Arabidopsis thaliana: one gene and its partners. The protein of the gene in region 3 interacts with the protein of the main gene of each other region in a pairwise test. Each region holds a gene or a part of one and is shown on either strand. Other genes may lie near its edges.

Evidence for each region.
Region 1: the proteins of RIN1 (region 3) and FES1 interact in a two-hybrid assay, tested with the Arabidopsis thaliana proteins (one study listed by BioGRID).
Region 2: the proteins of RIN1 (region 3) and FRI interact in a two-hybrid assay, tested with the Arabidopsis thaliana proteins (one study listed by BioGRID).

What each region holds. Positions count from the first base shown.
Region 1 is NC_003071.7:14,308,368-14,316,330, forward strand, and holds FES1 (Zinc finger C-x8-C-x5-C-x3-H type family protein), read right to left. Parts: upstream 6,348-7,963; 5' UTR 6,200-6,347; coding exon 6,076-6,199; intron 5,736-6,075; coding exon 5,642-5,735; intron 5,558-5,641; coding exon 5,334-5,557; intron 5,196-5,333; coding exon 3,904-5,195; intron 3,808-3,903; coding exon 3,778-3,807; 3' UTR 3,345-3,777; downstream 1-3,344. Other genes in the region: AT2G33830 (Dormancy/auxin associated family protein), read right to left, coding at 1,401-1,437, 1,524-1,722, 1,829-1,919; AT2G33840 (Tyrosyl-tRNA synthetase, class Ib, bacterial/mitochondrial), read left to right, coding at 6,644-6,744, 6,934-7,087, 7,173-7,456, 7,549-7,645, 7,895-7,963. UniProt on the Arabidopsis thaliana protein: Transcriptional activator involved in the FRIGIDA-mediated vernalization pathway, but not in the autonomous flowering pathway. Acts cooperatively with FRI (FRIGIDA) or FRL1 (FRIGIDA-LIKE 1) to promote FLC (FLOWERING LOCUS C) expression.
Region 2 is NC_003075.7:265,957-273,610, forward strand, and holds FRI (FRIGIDA-like protein), read left to right. Parts: upstream 1-2,944; 5' UTR 2,945-3,069; coding exon 3,070-4,008; intron 4,009-4,401; coding exon 4,402-4,407; 3' UTR 4,408-4,574; intron 4,575-4,663; 3' UTR 4,664-5,530; downstream 5,531-7,654. Other genes in the region: KEA2 (K+ efflux antiporter 2), read right to left, coding at 56-227, 323-1,833; AT4G00651 (Fe superoxide dismutase), read right to left, coding at 5,531-5,768, 5,874-5,923.
Region 3 is NC_003076.8:7,388,547-7,396,882, reverse strand, and holds RIN1 (P-loop containing nucleoside triphosphate hydrolases superfamily protein), read left to right. Parts: upstream 1-2,602; 5' UTR 2,603-2,811; coding exon 2,812-2,901; intron 2,902-3,474; coding exon 3,475-3,663; intron 3,664-3,783; coding exon 3,784-3,915; intron 3,916-4,006; coding exon 4,007-4,156; intron 4,157-4,362; coding exon 4,363-4,518; intron 4,519-4,675; coding exon 4,676-4,810; intron 4,811-4,895; coding exon 4,896-4,961; intron 4,962-5,057; coding exon 5,058-5,164; intron 5,165-5,255; coding exon 5,256-5,355; intron 5,356-5,433; coding exon 5,434-5,525; intron 5,526-5,607; coding exon 5,608-5,677; intron 5,678-5,767; coding exon 5,768-5,857; 3' UTR 5,858-6,087; downstream 6,088-8,336. Other genes in the region: AT5G22340 (NF-kappa-B inhibitor-like protein), read right to left, coding at 274-429, 551-710, 807-896, 1,016-1,050, 1,138-1,218, 1,384-1,440, 1,545-1,664, 1,965-2,137 and 1 more; AT5G22320 (Leucine-rich repeat (LRR) family protein), read left to right, coding at 6,457-6,555, 6,636-6,707, 6,814-6,906, 7,054-7,135, 7,217-7,273, 7,366-7,430, 7,504-7,599, 7,704-7,790 and 2 more. UniProt on the Arabidopsis thaliana protein: Proposed core component of the chromatin remodeling INO80 complex which is involved in transcriptional regulation, DNA replication and probably DNA repair.

The DNA of each region.
Region 1 (7,963 bases), on a different chromosome or scaffold from region 3:
GAATAATTCAGAGTGAAAGTTAAATATTTATATGGGTGTTACAAAATTTTACTTTTTTTTAGATAAAGAATTGGTTGCTACATATATATGATAGATTCTATATTGTGTAGTGTGAACTAATTAGAATGATAGTTTCGGTCTAATCGTGACAAAATTATGATAGTTTAGGTAGATTGTTTCATAAAATTTGTTTACAATTGATTAACGAATGGCATGTGAAATGGTCAATGCTTTTTTGTGGTATATGTGTTAATATTATCATCTCGTTTTAAGGTTTTGAATAGAAGATGGCAGTGAATCCAAAGTGACTTATAAAGGAGCTAATCTCATTGCACAAAGTATAACTAATGACTTTTACGGCTCCATTTGTATGTAGCTCTTGGTTGCAAGGTGTGTAACGTGTGTTTAATGGTGAAAGATCTCTTTCTTCTCTATGAACTTGTGTGTTTTTGTGTAGGTGGAGACACTTCTTTTGTATATTCCCCTTGTATTGAAAATGTGCTTTGAATAGGTTGATCCCGCAGGACTCAGGTTTGGGTTGGTTCTTTTTGTGTAACCTTGTATTCTATCTTCTTCTTTAATCAAATCAGATGACAAAAAATTAAATATATATTACATTTGTATCCAGACATGTATAAACTTTAATTAAATCACTATCATAATGGTTTGTTGACACAAAGAATTCACCTAACCATGGTTATGTTTTTGTTATTTAATGAGATGAGATCAACCATGGTGATTAAAATAGGTTGATCCCTGAGCTTTGGATTGGTTCTTTTTGTGTAACTTTGTATAATTATATCAAATCAGACAAAAAAATATATATAAAAAATTACAACTGTATCCAAAGACATGTATAAACTTTAATTAAATCACTATCATAATGGTTTGTTGACACAAAGAATGCATTTAACCATTGTTATGTTTTTGTTATTTAATGAGATGAGATCAACCATAGTTCAGTTAAAATTTAATCAAATCACTATCATAATTGTTTGTTGACACAACGAATTCATCTAACCATGCATGATTGAGATATTTTAATGATGAACAAATAAAATAAAATAAAAATAATGATATGAGATCAACCATGGTTAAGTTAAATTCCATTTTGCTAATTATAGTTAAGTTAAGTTATATTGTTAGCTAAATCATTAGAGAAGCTAATTGTAATATTACCGAACAGTAAAAATATTACAAGACACTGAAGACGCATCGCCACCGTTAAAAGCTAAAAACTAACCCAGATGGTGGAAATCAACGGTCACTAACAAACACAAACGACATGAAGCAAATAAAAGATTGCACATATAGCCAAAATAGACGAAACAGAACATAAACACGTGGCGTAAAGAACATAATTATTTTACATCATTCTCATGTCACTCTACCCTCTCGGCTCAACGGTGCTTGCTCCTAGTGTCGTCGCTGTATAGCCTGCGGGATCACAACAACGGTCAAACCATCTTAGATCTGATCTACACCGTCCGGTCAGATAATAATAACAGAAACTGAGTACGTACCAATCGTAGACGGTGGGAGAGTTTGGGTGAGAAGGCTTGTCGAAGAGGTTTGTGCCCATTCCTCTAGTGGCGATGTTACTTCCTGGATGAAACACACTTCTCCACACGTTTTCCTTACGCGCCGATCCTGGCGTCGTCGGAGTTCCAGGACTCCCGGCCACCGCCGCCACAGTTTTACTACTGCTCCCTTCTCCTACACCTTCCAAAAACCATCACATGATATAATTATGAGATCATACGTTTCTACAAAGATCTGTATATGCAAGTTTATTACGGAGTTATGGTTGACAAAGAAAAATAAATACCTTTGATGTCAAGGGGTTGGGTGGTGATCTTATTGCGGAGGCGGCCAAGGCCATGCTCCGGTTTAGGTCCGGCTACAGTTTCATCCCACATATTTCTTTCTTTTTTTGGGTTGATTTTGGATAGAATTGTGTCAAGTGTGAAGTACTTACTAAAGGGCTTCCTTCATCTAATTTATAGACTCATTTTTAAACTATTCGTAAAAATATCTCTTTTCCTTTGTCGACTAGTTCTCTCATTTTTTATTTGACCCACAAAATATCTAGAGAAATACTATAATAGACTAGAAATAATTGACAAGTAATTGATAACTTAATTACCAAATGAAGTTTATATACTTGCACATAGAATTTTCGTTAAAATTTGATACGTTTAGCCAAAATGTTATTATTCTCTGTCAATAAACAACATGAATACATAATATAATTGTAAATTGTGTGTTATGTATTAATATGTCATTTTACAACATTTTAATATAACATGCAACTTCCAGGGTTTAGAGCTAAAATACACGCCATCTTTGGAAATTAGGATGTGGATAAGCCTACTTTAAAGGACCTTAATATATAACATTAATGTTATAATATAGATCAAACCATTGATCATGAGAAGCGTGAGCAGTGAGGGAGAAGTGTGGAAATAAAAAAAATGCAAGGTGGGTATAGAGCTGGAGATATGGATAAGGACGACGAGTCATAAAGTGTAGGGACCCTTAAATCAAAAGAATCCCAAGTCTTTCGTGGAAAAGTATTATAGGAACAACAAACATATTTTGATTATTTTGTGAAGTTAATATTATTAAGCAACAGTAACTCTAATCAAATAGTTTTCCACAAACCCACCATAGATAATAAGTTCATGATGTCCTAATGATCATAGTCCAAATGATTCACTAAAATGTTTGAAAAAGATAAAACTAATTCCAAAACTGTACACAAAACGTATGCACTTTATCCTAAACCAAAAACCACTTTCTACTTACAGTAAAACTTCTATAAATTAATAATGTTAGGACCGAAAAATTATATTAATTTATAGAGGTTTTAATTTATCGATTAATTAATTAATTTATAGAGATATTTTTCTAATTTATTAACTTTTAAAAAAAATTTAAGATTTTTTCATTATAGAAAATATTTTTTAAGAATCAATTACAAGTAAAAAGTAATATCATATTTAGAAAACAACACCAAAATTTTTTGATACAATAAAATATTAGAACTCAATATCAAATAAGAATAAATACAAATTTAAGCAAAAAAAAATATTAGAAATATATTTTAAAGAAATTTCTTACATATAATGTATATATAGTTGATACATTTCTGCAATTATTAATTTGTGATATTAATGAGACCATATATTTACATAGGATTTTCAAAAAAATTATTATCTTATTAATTTATCGATTTATGTCATTTTTTCCATTAGTCTCACCTCGGGATTGGAAGAAATTATTAATTTATAGAGGTTATTAATTTACCGAGTATTAATTTACAGAGGTTTTACTTATATTGATGGAGAAATACAAAACTAAAACTAACTTCTAATTTGAAAAATCTTGGTTTCACAAAGCTAAATTACTTATCAAATAGTTAGGAAACGTACCTCAACATTATTCCATTTCTTTCTCTTTTCCTCTGCTTCCAAGGCAACCATTCTTTATCACATTACTTCTAAAGATCACATTCTAAATCATATTCCCAAAGGTAAAAGAAAACTGTTTTAAGCATAAATTAAGCTTTGAAGAGTTTTACAATGTGTACACATTTCCTCCACCAAGCTCCCATTCCAACCTTATTCCATTATCGGTAAAGGATAGGAATGGAGTTCCAAAGAATTTAGGTGCTACGTACTAAATCTATAACTGAGTAAAAGAAGGATGACATAATGTACAGGAATCTCATCAGTTTGAGCTCATGCCACACCAAGTGACATTTGGTTTGATAACTCAGGGTTTACCATACTTTTCGACATACCCCTGCAAATGAACATAAGAATTGTTAGCTTATGCAATACTTACTACTTAGGTTTTTACCTGCTTTAAGTGTCTTTTATTTCCAGCTAAGAAACTCACCTCGACAAGTTTCACAATTCTGGTTCCAGACAAACCAAGATATTGATCAACTGATTCTGTGTCAGTTGGCACCTGATGAAACTGGACAGCGGCGCCGACTACCTTTTCTGCAGCTTTTTTAACTATCATGTTATGCACGTCTTTAGTTAGACGACCCTCACGCCACAACGGTTTCAACATTTCTTTAATGGTTTCCACAACTGCAGTCCGGAATAGTCTCATTACTTTCATTCCTGCATCTGACCTCACTTCACCATCTATCTCATCTGATTTCTTTGTCTTTTTATATGAAGACCCATCACTTCTATGCCAAGAATCATGCCCTGCAGGTTTGATTCTTTTCAAAACAACTCTATTCTCTGCAGCCGTAGCCGAAGAAATCTCTTTGCTAGGCGTTGCTGTATCATTTTGATCAACCACTGACGTAGCCACCCCTTCCACTACTCCATGTGCTTCCAAACTCCTTGCCACGGTTTCTTGGTGTTGATTTTGACTGCATGAACTGCTTTTATCATCATTCTTGCAATCCCGTGCTTGGGGACCACTAGCAGAATCACCATCTTTCTGCTGGCAGGAACTTTTCCGTGCATGTTCTCCTTTACTTGACAATGAATCATTAAGAGGTCTGTCTCCTAGATTCTCTATATCCGTGAAAGGATCGTAGAGGGCATCAGACGAGGGAAGAATATAAGGTGGAATTGTAAAAGATGCTTTAAAAGGTTCAGAAGGTTCCCAGTCATCTGAAGAAACTTTCTTTTTAGTGCTAGTAGTGTTGGCTTCTGCGCCTTTATCAGAAGAAACAGCTACCCCTTGCAGCGTTGGAAGTGATCCGGATCCAGATAAACTATTCCCATTTTCAAAATCCCCCACCGTAGAAGCACGATCATTCATAGGAACAGAACTGGATAATGATCCTGTCCAGGCTGGTCCAGCAGATCCCATGTCTGTTTTTAAATAGGAACTGATAGAAGGTCTATGCTCATGAACAAAGCTGCTTCTCAATGCGAAGGAATTGGCGTTATTAATAACTAGAGACCTGTTGTCAGTGAAATCAGCACCATACGTTTGCTTCAAACTCTCTCTTCTAATGTTTTCAAATGAAGGCATAAAGCGCATCTCGTTATTGAACGGGAAAACTCTCTGAGAACCTGGGGGATTCACAAAAGACATGGAGGAGAAAACTCTCTGAGGATTCATGAAAGATATATCCTCTCTGGTAGGCAACGATGTCACACCGTTTTCGCTTAACTGGGAAACTCTTACACCTTCTCTGCTGTCCAAAATTCTTCTTTCTGAATAGACATAAGCAAAATAAATTATTGGTTGATTCAGAAAGAGTAATTAAACCCCATAGATATTCACCGGCCTCTATATTGTTGGAACTACCTCCACATAGAATCACAAGAATAAGTATTCATGGTACAACGTACCTAGATCAGACCGGATACCACCGTTTCCAGCCATACTATTTTCCGCCAGTTGTTGACTAGTGCAATTTGAATTCTCTTTCACATGTAGAAACTTGCAGGACACCCCATTGAAACACCACCCTTTAGCAAAAAATTTGCAGGGAAGAGCTGCACGTTTTTGTTCTGGTTCATTCCCACCACCGCCAGTGAAAAAGCTTCTTGGCGGTATACCCGGAGCAGGAAATCTGATAACCGAATTTGTCAGTATAAAAGCTTCAACCTCTTAACTTAGTTTCAGCAAAACTTAAGCAGAAACTTTTTTGCCATACCTTGGTAAAGTACCATTATCTTGAGCAAAAGCTTGCTCCTTTATGATTTTTGATTGCTCATCTAAAGGTGTTGTTACAGAATGCCTCTTCACATCTACATGAGACAAGTTTAATCAGTACATATTAGCAAAACTGCTGTTTTGAATAAACAAAAGAGATTCCTTACAGAAACAAGCACAAAACTCTGAGAATTGAATTTGCTTACTTGGTATTAAAGCCACAATTTTTACAAAAGAGCTTCAGTGAAAATCTAATTGCCAAGTCTTTGAACCTCTAATCAGAGCTAAATCTAGTCAATTTAACAATTCTCTCTTTCTTCTAGAACAAAATTCATCAATTCCAAATTGGAAAAGGTGTTTCCATCAATAAAAACACGAACTTGACAGAATTAATCAACAATACCATGTAACCAATCACGAATTTCAAATACTAACCGTTGTGGGAATTGGAAGCTTGAATTGGTGGTTTATCAAACAATTCAGATTCTCTTACAATTGTATGTACTTGCACCTTTTGTTCGACCTCATCATCATCAATGTCCATGTCGGAATCAGACATCTTGAAGTCTTCGGCGAGGTAACCAACGCAGAGAGTGGTAAATTGATAAAAAAAAATACTGCGGCGTGATCGGGGTCCGAAGCTCGCTGTTGAGTCCTGATGATCTCCGAGAATACGTTTGGTATATCGAAACCACCATTGTTACAAAGACCACCGAACTATTTTATATCTAATGGGCCTTTCCTAAATAATTAAAGCTTTAGTATTAAGGCCCATACTAAATTCCAAATTTTACCAACTATTTCCTAAATTAACACATCGTTGCCTTTTTATAGTAACCGGATTAAACCAAAACAAAATTAAAGAGAATCGAATCAAACCGTGAAAATCGTGAAGCGTAGTGGTGCTATATTGCACGTTAACTGTCTCCATCACTGCCACTGGTAAACCCTAAGAATCCTCCGCAATTTCGCAATTTTGTGAAGGAGCCGCCGGCTAAATTTGATGGCAGACCAAAGTTCGGAGATCGTCAATGCTCTGTCGTCGGAGATGGAAGCTGTTTCCGTTTCATCAACTCAGGCATCTTCTTCGTCCGATGGATTCCAGTGAGTTTTCTTACCAATCATCAATTTTTTTCATTTTCGCGCTTCAATTTTGATTTGGATTATATTATTTGATTAGAGTGGAAGAGATGAAAAAGCTATAGCAATTTAGAAGTATGGAATTTAAAATTGAAAAGATCTTGTTATCTGCTTATTGGTCTGGTAGATATTGAAATTTTACTAATTCTTCAGGATGAGTGAAGAAGTTGAGAAGAGATACAAAATTGTTAGGAGTATCGGTGAGGAATGTATACAAGAGGAAGAGCTAAAGAATCTTCTTGCTAAGAAGGCTGCTCCGATTTGCTACGACGGCTTTGAACCATCAGGAAGAATGCACATTGCTCAGGTCTGTTAGTTTTCCTTTGTTCCATTACCATATGTGGGAAGGAAGCGTTGGCTAATCTATTTTGGTTCTGTTGTTTTCTTAATAGGGAGTGATGAAAGTCATCAATGTGAACAAAATGACTTCAGCTGGTTGCAGAGTGAAGATTTGGATTGCTGATTGGTTTGCTCAGTTGAACAACAAAATGGGTGGTGACTTGAAGAAAATCAGAGTGGTTGGAGAATACTTTCAAGAGATATGGAAGGCTGCTGGGATGGATAATGACAAAGTAGAGTTTTTGTGGTCGTCCGAAGAAATTAATTCTAAGGCAGATAAGTATTGGCCTCTTGTGATGGACATTGCTCGCAAAAACAAGCTCCCTAGAATCTTAAGGTTACTTTTCTAAATCTTCTCCATTCTTGGGACGTTGTAATTATGTGAGGGAAATGATGGGACCTGAATGACTCTGGTTCTTGTCCTTGAAGGTGTGTGCAGATTATGGGACGTAGTGAGACTGATGAACTGAGTGCTGCCCAGATCCTTTACCCATGCATGCAATGTGCAGATATTTTTTTCCTTGAGGTACTGTTAAGCCTTTGCTTGCTTATGAACTGTCTTTGATTCTGCTGCTAGTTACTCGGAATAAAAAATTTAGCTTAAGCGTTACATCAGCAGAAAGTCTATTATATTGTTGATAAAACACCTGATAAAAGCTCCAGGCTAGAAATAAGCTGTATATGATTGCAGATTTTATCAATGTAATGTTACATTTTGTGTATCTGGCTGATGAGTTCTGTGACTACTGTTAAACCATTTTCGTTACATATGTAGGCTGATATTTGCCAGCTTGGGATGGATCAAAGAAAAGTAAATGTGCTAGCGAGAGAATACTGTGATGAC
Region 2 (7,654 bases), on a different chromosome or scaffold from region 3:
ATAAGGTATGTATGGGACTCGTGAAAGAGTACATTTCCTGCATGACCACTCATACCTCTTGCTGAGGGAACATCTCAAGTAGTTTCTTTATTCTCTTTGGAAGTTTCTGCATCTGACGGATCAGAGGTTTTGTGCTGGAGGAAACATCTTCTGCGCTAGTGCTGACAATATTTGGCTGTTGTGGCAGCTGATTGTTCCTTCCTACTCCGTTGGAATAGATTGCCACTCTAGAATGAATCAGAAAACTTGCTATTAAAAAAAAACAGACAAAAAAGTTTATGGTTTATCATAATTCGTCAAAACAATTGAGTATCCAACTAACCCTGCCCCAAGAAGTGTAAATCCAAGAATTAGCTTAGGCCACTGCTGTTTCGCAGATTCAACTAAACTCTCAAAAACTGTTGCGGTTCCATCCCCATTGGAAGAGAAGAAAGATGCAGGAAAGAAACGAGAGGATTTCTTCAATGATGTCTTGGTACCATTATGAGATGAACTCTCCCTTGGCAGATCTTTCTGCACTTCCTGTTTTTTTGTCAGAACAACATTCTTTGACTTCTCTGCTTCTCCTTCAGCCTCTTTAGCAAAATCTGCAGTTGGCTTTCCGTTCTCATTATCTGACTCGTAAGACTGAGTCCCAACATCTGATGAAACTCCAACTACTACTAAGTCTCTTTCAGCCTGATGGCTTACATCAACAATTTCACTCAAGACTTCATCCTCACCAACAATAGTATTCTTTCCATCCAATACCTTTCCCTGGGTTGTTTCTTGGGTTTGGGAACCAAAAAGAGTCTTCTCTGCTCTTTGCAAAGCAATCTCTGCATCATTCACACGTTGAGTAGCCTCAAGCTCAAATGCCACAGCTTGTTCGGCCAAAACCATGATATTTGCAACATCCTCCTCGGCTTTCAATGCGCTGATCTGCGCTCTCTCGGCAGCCTCATTCAATCTATCTACTTCCTTCTGCAGCTCGTCCTTCTTAACTTGCAAACGCCTGAGTTGTTCCTCACAGCTTGCTAAATTTTCTTGGCATTCTTTTATGTCAGCCTTAGCAGATAAAAGGGCTTCCTCTTTATCTTTAACACCATCTCTAACCTCACTCTCTTCAGAAGTATTGTACCCTTCTGCTTCTAGTGATTCAAGTGCAACCTGCAGCCTTGCTTCAGCCAGAGATAATGCCATAGTAGCCTTCTGAACAGCTTCTTTAGCAACGGACTCTTCATCAACAGCCTCTTGAACCACATTAAGTGTTTGGTTTACATCGTTCCACGCACTGGCTGCTTCATCCTTAAGTGCTATCGCTACCTCTGAAATCCTCTGAGCCTTTTCTTCAAACATGGTACTGTTGAGACTAGCCACTTCCAATTCTTTAGTTGCCTTATTCAGTAGATCCCTGAGTTCCTCCAAACTAGGTGCAGAATCTTGCTCTCTTGTGTCTTTCTCTTCCTTAGAAAACGTAACCTCCCTGTCATCACTACCTTCAGCAAATTCCAAATTCCGGTCATTCCCAACCAAATCTCCTACAGAATCGCTACTTTGACAAAGTAACCTAAACCCCAGCGGAACATTTTGGGGTTTTGCAGGAAGCAAATGACCGTAAAATCTTCCATTGAAATCAGCATTCAAAGTCAAAGAAGAACGATACGATACATTTCGTTTCGATCTAATAGCTGAGCGAACTTTAGAATCAATCATCGGATCCCAAAATCTAGTGCCGCCGAGTCCTTTGGGACAGAGTTTCGCACTTATCATTCGATTCGGCAAGCAGTAACTCGCAAAATCCGCACCACCGTGAAACATACTCTGGCGCTGAACGCTAGACGCAAAATCCATATTACTGCTGCAGAAAGACGGAGAGAACAAGAGACTGACCGATCATAAGAGAAGAGAGCTTCAAGGCTTCAGCTGATGAAGAATCAATGGCGGCGAGAGTGAGTGAGAATCGAGTAGTTACTGAGAGGAAGATGAAACGTATCTCCTGAGAAAAAACGTAAGAGAGTTCCGTTTCAACAGTATTTTTCTCGGCGGTCTTCAGATTTTCCGTCCAACTCTCTCTTTCCTCTTTCAGTTTTTTTTTGCCCAATCACTCGTGGTAGGATTTTTTTATAAGAAAGTTACGAAAATGCCCTCTCGTGCTTAGAGAGATTCAATTCGTGCACATATAATATGCCGTGAATATACCACCAACTCTCTTACTCGTACTCGCATGTGGTGCGTGCAATATACACGTGGTTCGAATCAACGGCTACGTTTTACTGATAGGTGGCTCGTTTAGTTTTGCACTGCCTTTGGGTGCGCGTGACCAAGTCATTTTCCAAATGTGTTTTAATATTTGTGAACTATTATTAATAAAAAAGCGAGCGACGTTGTTCGTTGATGAGGGAGCGACCGTACGCTTGGCGACCTTCTCTGATTGCGTAGAGTCGTTTTCCTTATTGGGCTTACCTAGTACCGTCAGCCCACAATGTTTTCATTTCTTTCCCACCTAAAACTAAAAGTACTCACAAGTCACAACTTAAACCAAGTACACAAGGATTTTATCATGGGATTATCGTGTTTGAAGACTAAAAAGAGCACACCATCACCCCCATTAGTGCAGGTAGAGTAAGACAGTAACTTTTGGGTTCATATTACCGAGCAAGAACCGTTATTTGTGATTAGACATGTTATAAACCACTGCTTTAGTGACTATTTAAAACAATATATTACATGTCGTAATCATGCAACCTAACTATGTTTTCATTAATCAAATACAAAGAATAAAGAGAAAAGTGCGTAGATTCAATTATTTGGCATAGACTCAAAAGAGTGTATATATATCTGACTTTTATTAAATTATTAAACACAAATACATATTTTCATAAGCAAAACTATAAAAGCCCTAAACATATAACGATTACCTCAAAGGAAAAAGTCGTTTTCTCCTAATTAAAAGATAGGTTACTTCCTAATTAATATATAATTTATGTGAACTTCACAATATACAGTTCAATAAAATTTGGTAATTTGACCGATTTAAGGAGAGTGGAAATTAGGGCTTCTGCAATCTTTTTTCTTCGCCGCAATCTCATGTCCAATTATCCACCGACGGTGGCGGCGCAACCCACAACGACGGCGAATCCACTGCTGCAGCGACATCAATCTGAACAGCGACGAAGAGAATTACCGAAGATTGTCGAAACAGAGTCTACAAGTATGGACATTACGATCGGTCAATCTAAGCAGCCTCAATTTTTGAAATCCATAGACGAATTAGCTGCGTTTTCAGTTGCAGTGGAAACATTCAAACGCCAATTCGATGATCTTCAGAAGCACATCGAGTCAATCGAAAACGCAATTGATTCCAAACTCGAGAGTAACGGCGTTGTCCTCGCCGCGCGGAACAATAATTTCCATCAGCCGATGTTATCGCCTCCGCGGAACAATGTATCTGTAGAAACCACCGTCACTGTGAGCCAACCGTCTCAGGAGATTGTACCGGAGACGTCGAATAAACCGGAGGGGGAACGTATATGTGAGTTGATGTGTAGCAAAGGTCTGCGTAAATACATATACGCGAATATCTCTGATCAAGCTAAGTTAATGGAAGAGATTCCTTCAGCTTTGAAATTGGCCAAGGAGCCAGCGAAGTTTGTATTGGATTGTATTGGCAAGTTTTACTTACAAGGGCGTAGAGCATTTACTAAAGAGTCGCCTATGAGCTCTGCGAGACAAGTTTCGCTTCTTATACTGGAGTCTTTTCTTCTAATGCCTGATCGTGGTAAAGGGAAGGTGAAGATTGAGAGTTGGATTAAAGATGAGGCGGAGACGGCTGCTGTTGCTTGGAGGAAAAGGTTGATGACTGAAGGAGGATTAGCTGCGGCTGAGAAAATGGATGCAAGGGGTTTGCTTTTACTAGTTGCTTGTTTTGGTGTTCCTTCAAACTTTAGGAGTACAGATTTGCTGGATTTGATAAGGATGAGTGGTTCGAATGAGATTGCCGGTGCTTTGAAGCGGTCACAGTTTCAGGTACCATATTCTGTTCTCACTCGGTGAATTTCATTGCAAAGGTGGTTCCTTTTGTTGACATCATCGACCAACATCAAGTTCCATCTTTGTTTTTCGATAAGCTTGATGGTATAAACTAGGAGAGCACATCAAATATTTAGAGTGCAATGACTGATTGAGCCAAATCCTAGCTAGAAATTAATCTGGAAAGAACTTGGAACTCTCAACCATAGGTTTTGGTACGAAATTGTTGCTTGTCAGAACCAAATGATAGGCTATTGCCTTGAAATAGTGTTTCTTGTGGTTTCCAATATTGGAAGTTAAAATCATATGACTTAGCTGTTGGATACTAATTAAGCTTAAGCAATGCCAACTCTAAGAAGTGGTACTTACACAATATTCTATTGGTCATAGGTATAGTTGAATCAAGTATCAAGCGTGGAATGCATATTGAAGCTCTTGAAATGGTTTATACCTTTGGCATGGAGGATAAGTTTTCAGCTGCTCTAGTTCTAACTTCATTCTTAAAGATGAGCAAGGAGTCATTTGAGAGGGCAAAACGGAAAGCCCAGTCACCGCTGGCATTTGTATGAACCCTTCCCTTGCACATTATGTACCTTTATGAACTCTTTATCATCATCTGAGTCTGACCATTGATATATTTATTTCTCAACAGAAAGAAGCGGCTACAAAGCAGCTAGCTGTGTTATCATCAGTTATGCAGTGTATGGAGACTCACAAGTTAGATCCTGCGAAAGAACTACCAGGATGGCAGATCAAAGAGCAAATTGTTAGCTTGGAGAAAGACACTCTTCAGCTCGACAAAGAGATGGAAGAGAAAGCAAGATCTCTCAGTTTAATGGAGGAAGCCGCACTTGCCAAGAGAATGTATAACCAACAGATAAAACGTCCAAGGTTATCACCCATGGAAATGCCACCAGTAACTTCTTCATCGTATTCTCCTATCTACCGTGATAGAAGCTTTCCTAGTCAAAGAGACGATGACCAAGATGAAATATCAGCTCTTGTGAGTAGTTACCTCGGCCCGTCAACATCTTTTCCTCATCGCTCAAGAAGATCCCCGGAATATATGGTTCCACTTCCACATGGTGGGTTAGGAAGAAGTGTATATGCATATGAACATCTGGCCCCAAATTCATATTCTCCAGGTCACGGACATAGACTTCATCGACAGTACTCTCCGTCTTTGGTTCACGGACAGAGACATCCACTACAGTACTCTCCTCCAATTCATGGACAACAACAGTTACCATATGGTATACAAAGGGTTTACAGACATTCACCATCTGAAGAAAGATATTTGGGTTTATCCAATCAAAGGTCTCCTCGCAGTAACTCATCATTAGACCCCAAATAGGAGGAATGTAAATTTGTAACAAAGCTTTTTGTTTTTGCTTAAGTTAGTCATTTATTTAACTCCCAACAGTCTCAAAATTTAATTTAATGTTTGGGGCTTAAGAATGCAAATTTTTTTGCTCCTGTAATTGACATTTAAGATGCTAATGTTATTGCTTCAGAGGTTTTAGTCAACCTCAGATACATCGATATCACTATCTAAATAGACCTCTGGCTCTTGGTCATCTGGATTCTCTTCATCTTCTGTCTCTGTTCCTTCTTGTTCTCGTTGCACTGCTCGAGCAATTGCGGATTCCAACCTTGTGCTTACAGTTTCCCATGACACAAGCTTTTCCATGAATGTATTTATGTCCGCCTTCTTATCTTTCTTGAGGAAGATGAATTCACCGAAGATCCAACTTGAGCTTGACAATCAATCAAATCCGAAACAGAAACAGAGCTTTTTGACATCTTTGATTTAGCAGTCTTTGATCTTGAGGAATATCAATGAACACTAGATACACTCACACTTGCAGGCTTTAAACTGGATTTTAAACATGAATAGAAGCATTGATTCCATGGAATGTGGTAAGTGACATAGCTGGACTTCTTAAACAAATGTATGAACGGGTAGGGTTCATTACAATGTAGTTATACAGCACTGAGATTTATGGAAGAAAAAAAGGACACAGCTTTAACTATCTACAGAGAGACAAGAACACTAAAGACAAGAGAATCATAAGTTCAGGAGTTCGTTAAAATGGCTCTATTCAAATCACACATTGGCACAAGACCACTAATAAGATACCAAGTGGGACAATCGAAAGATAATAAGAGATAGCATATCAGAGAGAGAGAGAGATTTTTTGAGGAGGGAGAAGTTCGCCGGAGGCTTCTGTTTCTAGTCGGCGTTGTGATTGGAATTGTTTGAGCGGTCTTTCCAGTCCCGGAATTGGAAACAAGAGGGCTAATTTTGGTCCTTTTGGAAAGATTTGAAACGACATCGTTATTAAGCCCTAATTCTACTATAACGATGTCGTTTACGAGAAACATACATATACATACTTGAGAATAAAGCCCATTACCAAGAGACCAATTTTGGTCTTTTTCGTATAGTATTAACTCTACGGCGATTGATCTAAGCCCAATAATTGTGGAACTTGCTCGACTTAGGTCTCAATCTCTATTTTCTACCAATGCCAAAAAACAATTTCCTTACAAATTTTTTATTTTTCCCATCAAAACAATTCCCACCAATTTACATTTAAAAATCATTGTAATCTATCACATTTCCTTACTTTTAAAACCATTTACAAATCTATTTATCGCCAAAACAAAAACGGGAAAAATGTTTTTGGAAAAAAAAAATTGACAGAAAAATTATTTTCGGAATATTTTTGGCGAAAAAAATCGATATTCTATTTTGTTAACCTAAAATATTTTCAAAATATGAGTAAAATAGTCATTAAAAATTAAATTAACGTATAAATGAAAATGACTAACAGGAAAGGTTATAATTAAAAAATGATAATTTTGGAAGAACATTTTTTACAATTTCTCTTTAATCATTAACCCTCGTTGTATGGAACTCCGGTGGCGTTGAGCCACGAATCTCTATTTATGAACTCTCTAACCGTAAACATGACTGCTTCCATCGGGTCTGTGATGATCTTGTTCCCATTCGGATGGACTCTCTGGCTTGCGTTTGCTCTGGGGCCTTTGTTTTGATATTCGCGGTAGAACAATGTGGACAAATCCCCACTAGTGCTGCTATTTCATGGAGTCCATCCCACTGGATCTATCAAAACATCCATTTAAGATTCCATAATCACCACCGTTGATAAATCACCCCACGGTCTTACTAGAAACATCTTCACCATTCTGTGAATGTCGACGTGTCGGTCGAGAGACTGTAAAAAGCCTACGTATTCATAGAATTTTTATTTTTATTTGTGATGTTTATGATAGTTTTTTGTTCACTTTATTTTTTTTGTTCAATCTATTTTAATTTTCTTAACACTGATATAAAAAATTTCATAGTTTATGTTGTGTATTTATTTTTTAATTTTTTATAATATTTAATTTAATTTTGTCAATTATTGTTTTATTTAATGTGTGAATTAATTTTAGCTGTAATGTTTTGATTTCAATAAATAAAATTTAGGCAGGCCACAATATGATGACTTGGATGTTGATGTAGACATCGTAGATCGAAAGTGAACTTTTCTATTATATAGACGTATTTTACTTATTTTTTGCTTAATTTATGCTTACTTTTGGTCAAATTATTTTCTCTTTATTATTCAAATTA
Region 3 (8,336 bases):
TGCCTCTGATCTTACTTTTGATAAAATATTAAAGAAAGAAGCAAAATCCAATATAGTTTATTGTAAACTCATTCAAGTCATGCATATAAACATTGTATTATTGTTTTCGTTAGAAAAGTAACCCAGAATGTTTTAAAAAATAGAAGAGGTTGCTTTGCTTTTGAAAAAAAGCCGAAAAACGCCGTTTTGATCTATAACTCACTATATCCTCGGTCTTAGCGGATGAGTCTAGCTTCTGTTCCTGTTCCTCTCTCAAAATATGTACCGAACAATTCACAATTCTGTGGTTTCCTGGTCTATCTCGGAAGGCCGCTTGTGAACTTTGCAGTTAGTAGTCATCTGGGAAGATGAACTGAAGATCTTGGTTGTCTCTGTACACTTGAACGAGAGTTGCAGCTTTGTATACAAACAAACCAACCATTGCTGGAACTATCTGCAAAGCACAATCGTTGTGGAGAATATAAAGGTTCAAACTTGTCTAAGAACATGTGATAACTTTGAGGTATCACGGATAAACATAGCTAAAACCTCGCAACGTGGAATAGCTTACCTGAAAGTCGAACAAGTCGTTCTGGAAATACTTGTGAGAGAGTATCCACAAACCATAAATTGCAGCTGGTATCACCAAGCGTGGAGAAGAGAGAGCCATGCCACTGCCCCTGATTGTCCTCACTACAAAGTCCTCAAGGTCTTCACTTCTGATCCCGATTCTGAATTGGGACAATACAAAAGCAAGTTCAGAGCAATGTGAGTATGGGAAGTGAGAAGAAAACGTGACCAGACTAAAAAGTTGTCAAGGTCTTTACTTTTTAGACTTTTTTTTCAGGAAGATATCAGGAACAGCTTCACGTGATAGACCATCAGCGTATCCATACAAAAGCTGAAGGTACAAGCAACTGCACTATGATCAGATTTGGTTAGGAATACGCGAGTGCTCGATCAAGCATGTTGCAGAACTATATCTTACAACGTCAAGGTCTATTTATGTACAAACCAATTAAAATAGACAACTAACCTGAATAGAACCCCAACTGCATAACTGACTGCAGCCTGTCATATGTCAGAATATTTCTTTCAGACACATTTTCGTATAGAGAAGCCATAGTATAAACTGGTTAGAGCTTTGACAGAGCTTACCTGAACTGATAAAGCTAGTAAACAGTATCCGCTGCATCCAGTTCCAATTACAATCGACAGGTACATGAGTTCACGCTTCAGCTACAAAAATAAAGACACAAACGCAGCAATTTCAAAGTTCATTCTACACAAATTGACTACTGGTACATACTGAACAGCCATTTTGCATAATAGAGTGTTTTGTTGAATCATAAAGATCTGACTGGCAGACTAATTAAGAAAACATACTGAAAGGAATAATCATACAGCTTCATATTTCAGAAAGTTAAACTTCTTCCTTCTCTCGCTGTCATCTCGTAGTGCCTGCAATCAAGGAAGTAGGACAAACGCAGCAGAGTTTTGCAATGAGAAGGACGTGTGAATGAATGAATACAGAGAACAAGAACATTCATAAATAGATGACCAACCTTAGCTAGAGCTTTCTTATTCATGGGGGCAGAATCACTCTCCCAACCAATCCATTCTTGTGTCGGTTTAAGTTTCAAGAAACCACTTTCATCATCATCAGCGCCATCTATCAAGCTTTCCTGCATATACAACATAAAGACATTAATAAAGGAGCTATACCAAGTTACCAACCAAAGTAACAGTACCAAGTATAAGATTGTTGCCATGAAAGCTATAAATTTGTGAGATTTCAGAAATTCACAAACCAATACTGGATTTCATAAAAATGTAGTCACTCACATAACAATTGCAACAGGATCATATAACTATCAAACTATTCCTCGATACAAAGTTAGCAATTTTAATCGTCAAAAGCAAACTTAGAACTGAAGAAAAAAAACTAGCTACAGTTACTAATGAACAAGTGAAAGAAACTTAACCCGAGTATCATCTAGTTCAACAGCTGAAGAAGAAGCTCCATTGGAATTAACATCAATAGATTCGAGAATCTCCTTTAACCAGAGCCTATCAGAAACTTTAGATATGAAATCTCCATTTTCTTCTCTGTCTTTCATGAACATTTGCAACACATCCTCCTCCACTAGCTCACTCACTAAAAACAAAGCAAAAGACATGAAATTTTCCACAAAGAGCGAACATTTGAGTAGTAAGGTTCAATGTAGAGAGAGAGATTGTCACCAGAGCGAGAAGCGGCATTAATGGCGGCCAAGCGATGGGAATTCCTGTTGGGAGGTCGCCGGAGATGATGCGGCGGAGAAACTCTCACCTTCGTCGGAGGAATGGTTCCGCCGGAAAACCAAGAAGCGGCGGGAATCGAGAGACTCTCCATGTAGCGAGAGAGTGAGACGGCCTCTGGTTTTTTTCCAGAAGAAGAAGCTTATCACTATTGTTGATGAAGAGAAAGAAAGTTTCCAAAAAGAAGACCCTTTTATTATTCATATATTATAATTTCACCCCTTAATTTACATTTATGACTATTGAGTCCTGTCTTTTTGTTTCGCCCTTTTCTCTAATTGTTTTCGTTTTCTTTCTATTTCTGAGTTTAGGAAGTGTGGGGTGATTTTGTAAATAAAGGATAATATAAAGGCCCATTGTTGCAACAACATGTTTAACATATAAACTTTGTTAGGAAGAGGTTTTGGCAATTTGGAGTCAGAGGGAGGCGTTGCAAACTCAATAAAGCTCAAAACTTTCCGCCGTCGTTTTCGTCGTCGGAGAATACAACAAAAGACCTAAAGCAGATCAAAGTAATTGTAGTTGACGGAGATGGAGAAAGTAAAGATTGAAGAAATTCAGTCCACCGCTAAGAAACAACGGATTGCTACTCACACCCATATCAAAGGCCTTGGCCTCGAGGTGCTCCTTCTCCTCTCTCTCTTTGACTCTAGTGGATTCCAGTAGTTTGCTCGAGTTTAGGGTTTAGTTAAGGTTTTATGTTCTAAGCTTTTTTAGGGTTTTAAAGCTATTTGCTTCGTTTGGTACTACGCTTAGAGTTTCTTTTCTCTGTTCTAGCACAAACAAACCCTAGTTTTCATTTGTAAAGTTTCGACTTTTCTGGGGATAAGATGCATTGCAGTATTCTCGTATTGCTCAAAGTTCTTTAAGGTTTTGTGTTTAAAGTTTAATGATTTTTAGGGGTTTCAAGCTCATTGCTTCGTTTGGTATTCTCCGAGACTCTTTTTTCGGCTCTAGCACAATTATACTCTAGTTTTGATTTGCAAATATTCAATTTTAATACATGTATTTTATGAAATATATAGTACTTGACCGATGTTTGAAGACCTTTGCTCTTCCACTTTGGCACGGCACTTTGATTTTAATTAACTATCTTTGCTTCTTTTACTGACTGTAGTTTCTCAAGCATCTGTGTGATCTCGTTCTATAACCAGTACATCATTTCTGTTGCTAATGTTGCGTCTCTTTTTCTAGCCAACTGGTATCCCTATAAAATTGGCAGCTGGATTTGTTGGTCAACTTGAGGCTAGAGAGGCAGCTGGTCTTGTAGTTGACATGATTAAGCAGAAGAAAATGGCGGGCAAGGCTCTTTTGCTTGCTGGACCTCCTGGAACTGGGAAAACAGCTTTGGCTCTTGGAATCTCTCAAGAGCTGGGAAGCAAGGTAATTTTGGATGTCTCATTTTGTATCTTCTTTGTTACATTGTTTCCACATGGCTTCATTGTATGAAGCTTTTTTCTTTTACTTTTAGCTTATTTTATCTGGATTGTTTCTTTCTTGCAGGTTCCATTCTGTCCAATGGTTGGATCTGAGGTTTACTCATCAGAGGTTAAGAAAACAGAGGTTCTCATGGAGAATTTTAGACGTGCCATTGGTCTACGTATCAAGGAAACCAAAGAAGTCTATGAAGGGGAGGTGTGTTGCTATTTGCGGTTTCTTTTGCTGTGTTCTTATGCAATAGCATGTCTCGCTAATTGGTTTTTGACATGTTGTCCTTGTGTTCTAGGTCACCGAGCTGTCACCAGAAGAAACTGAAAGCCTCACTGGAGGTTATGGTAAAAGCATCAGCCATGTTGTAATTACACTCAAGACAGTCAAAGGAACCAAACATCTGAAATTGGATCCCACTATCTATGATGCCTTGATTAAGGAAAAGGTCAGTTCTTGGCATGCGATGCTATGCTTTGGATGTGGTATTTTCCCCTAAGTTTTTGCTTTTCAGTTTGTTCCAAAACCTGCTTTTCTTTTCACCTTTTTGGTTTTCTAACGATGTCATTCTGTGGGGACAATTGTGTATGAATTTGCTGATTACTTTGTCATTCTGATTGGTTTCTTTTTATATTTTTGCTGTTTGCCTCTCAGGTAGCTGTAGGAGATGTAATCTATATCGAAGCAAACAGTGGAGCTGTCAAACGGGTAGGTAGAAGTGATGCTTTTGCCACTGAATTTGATCTGGAAGCAGAAGAATATGTTCCACTTCCCAAAGGAGAGGTCCACAAAAAGAAAGAGATAGTGCAGGTTTACCTTCTTTGACCTCTCCCTTCTGTGTAGAGTAATTATTTTCTTTGTTGATTTATTATCTGTTATGTATTAGTTTGTATGTGTATTAACCTTAGTTCCTAAGTTTATTAAGACTACTTGTTACTCAACTAGACCATATACTTTTGACTGATAGGATGTCACACTCCAAGATCTGGATGCAGCAAATGCTCGACCTCAAGGTGGCCAGGATATACTTTCTTTGATGGGCCAAATGATGAAACCGCGGAAGACTGAGATCACTGATAAGCTTCGGCAAGAAATTAACAAGGTGATTTTCGCTAGTACATGGGTGATTTTTTTAAGCATCTTACTTTCTCTTTTGCAAGGTCTAATATTTTTATATGCCATTGTAGGTTGTGAACCGATATATAGATGAAGGTGTGGCAGAGCTTGTTCCAGGAGTTCTATTTATTGATGAGGTATTTTCCCAAATAAAGTTTTTTTTCATTCCACTATTGATCTTGCTCAGGACTCAGGAGCAGTAAGAATACCTTTGTTTAATTATAAAACCTCAGGTTCATATGCTTGATATGGAGTGCTTCTCATACTTGAACCGTGCTCTTGAGAGCTCATTATCTCCGATAGTGATATTTGCAACAAATAGAGGTGTTTGCAACGTAAGGTGAGAAGAGCGCTAGACCTTGATAGACATTTTCCTTTGGAAATCTTGTGAGTTTTTGTTAACTTGGTACTGTGATTTACTTTATTTGCAGAGGGACTGATATGCCCAGCCCCCATGGAGTCCCTATTGATCTATTAGATCGATTGGTTATCATCCGGACTCAAATCTATGATCCCTCTGAAATGATCCAGGTTACTCAATTGTCATTTAGCTTTTGGATTTCAATTACTACGAACAACATTCTAATAGATTTATCATTTTGTTCACAGATTATAGCCATTCGTGCGCAAGTTGAAGAATTAACCGTGGATGAAGAATGCTTGGTTCTACTTGGGGAGATTGGGCAAAGAACTTCACTAAGGTACTGTCATCATTGCTTTTCTAAGCAAAATTTCTGTTCGTGAATCTAAATACTAAAACCTTTTTTGTGCTTTCACTCTCAGGCACGCTGTGCAGCTTCTGTCTCCTGCCAGCATTGTAGCGAAAATGAATGGCCGTGACAATATTTGCAAGGTAGATTTACTTGTGAAATCTTAGAACAATAAAACAAATGTAAAATATGTGGATGTTATGTTATTAATCCTTCATCTTAAATTTTGACAGGCTGATATAGAGGAAGTAACATCACTCTACTTGGATGCTAAATCTTCAGCAAAGCTTTTGCATGAGCAACAAGAAAAATACATCTCATGAGAAGAACACTAATCGCACATTTTGTTGAAACATCTCATAATTTTTCTGTCGTTTTATTTTGTAATGTCGGAATATGGAGAATGTCTAATGGGATTACAATTTGGTTTCTCTGAATTCATTTATTTATGTGCTATTTTTTTGTTTGTGGTGCTAACTAATGAAAACTGAAATATGGTTTCACGTGTATACACATACATGGTCGTGAGATTCAAACTTTTGGTTTCATATTGAGTTCCCTTGTTACATTACAATACACTTATTCAAGATCAAACTGTTTGTGGAACATAACATTGTGTAATTGTCTATTTGGTTACTGTTAAAAGTTGATGTTGCGCCAAAAAGAAAGAAAAAAAACTCTATTATCAGAACAGAGTCAGCAGAGTCGGAGATTATAAAACTTGAGGATCAAAGTGGGAGGAGTACCATAAGAGGGTGTCCCTGATCCGTACAATAATAACAAGGTCAAATGTATAAACAATAGAAAACTGTGGGGTTTTTGGGTAAAGACTTATCACGGTTGGGAACAGAGACAATCTTTTGAATAAGGTGAAACCAAAAGACTAGGGTTTTGTGTGACAAGGAAGAAGACGAAGACGGCGATGAATTCGTTAACCGTTGAACAAGTATTGAAAGAGAAGAAGACCAATGACCCAGATTCCGTCAAGGAACTTAATCTCGGCCATAAAGCTCTCACCGACGTGAGTATTGTTTCTGTTCTGAAACTCTGTTCCCAAGTAGAAATTGATACGAAACCCTAATTGTTTAATTGTATATTTAGGTGTCTTGTTTGAGCAAGTTCAAAAACTTGGAAAAGCTTGATCTTCGTTTCAACAATCTAACAGATCTTCAGGTTGATTGATACATAAATCTCATTTTATAAGCATAAATAGCATCCAAAGTTTTGATTTTTAAGTTGCTAGAGCTTATTATATGTTGATGTGTTAATTGGTTTTTAGGGACTCAAGTCTTGTGTGAACTTGAAATGGCTTTCAGTTGTGGAAAACAAATTGCAAAGCTTAAATGGAATTGAAGCACTCACTAAGCTTACGGTTAGTTCCACTGATATCACTGAGCTTGTTTCTTTGAGATTTGTATCACTTACCAATAGTGAGGTTCTCCAGGATTAAGCTTTGTTTTGACAGAAAACGAGTTAATATGTGTGCTTTATTTGACTGTGTGATGTTGTTTTCTATCAGGTGCTTAATGCTGGAAAGAATAAGCTCAAATCCATGAATGAGATCTCTTCTCTTGTCAATTTACGGGCCTTGATCTTGAATGGTAAGTTGTCAACGGTTTTATGTCTTTGCATCCACAAGCTACTGTTTGATTACTTACTCGTTATTGTTTCACTTGTTGTAGACAATGAAATCTCCTCCATTTGCAAGCTTGATTTACTCAAAGACTTGAACAGTCTCGGTATGTTCTTTTACATCAAAATCAACATGTTACTGTTTAGATGTTACACCTAATTTCATTCTACTTAAATGTGTATGGATTCATTCATGCAGTTCTTTCTAGGAACCCAATCAGTGAAATAGGTGACTCACTTTCAAAGTTGAAAAACCTCTCCAAAGTAAGCTCTTGTTTTCCTCCCGTTTCGGAATCACAACTAAACTGATCCTTGTCTAATCCCATCTCGGTTTCAGATTTCTTTGTCTGACTGCAGAATAAAAGCTATTGGCTCTTCTCTCAAGTCATGCTCTGATTTGAAAGAGCTGCGGCTCGCGAACAATGAAATCAAGGTGATCTTTCTTACATTTATGCAATCTACAGAACAAACCTGCCTCTTCTCACAATCTTTTGTTTATATTGCTAATCGTTATTTCATTTACGCTTAACTGTTCAGGCTCTCCCAGCAGAACTAGCAGTCAACAAAAGACTACTCAATTTGGATGTGGGAAACAATGTGATTACGCAACTCTCTGGTTTAGAGGTATAGTCTAATTCATATAGGTGAAAGCAAATTTGTTAGCCTTCCCTAGCTTGTGGCAAGTTTTTGTGGTGATCGTGTAATAAACCATCAAATTTGTGTGCTCCCAAATGATAGGTTTTGGGTACACTATCTTGCTTGCGAAATCTGAATATTCGAGGAAACCCGATTTCTGATAACGATAAGTCAGCTAAGAAGGTAAAACAACTTTTTCTACTTCTTTTTTCCATTGTGATTAGTGTAACTGCGTGAAGAAATCGTATAAGAATGAGGAAAATTGTTTTGATGTCGCAGGTGAGAACGTTGCTTCTCCCTTCAGTGAATGTATTCAACGCTCAACCCTTAGAAAAAAGCTCAAGGAATGCAAAGCATATTCGGCTTGATACCGATGATGAAACCTTTGATGCCTATCACAATAAATCAGCAGAAGAGGAACAATCTAAAGAAGATCGAAAACGCAAGAAGAGCTCTAAGAGAAATAAGTCAGAAGAAGAAGAAGTCAACAATGAGGATCACAAAAGCAAGAAGAAGAAGTCTAAGAGCAACACA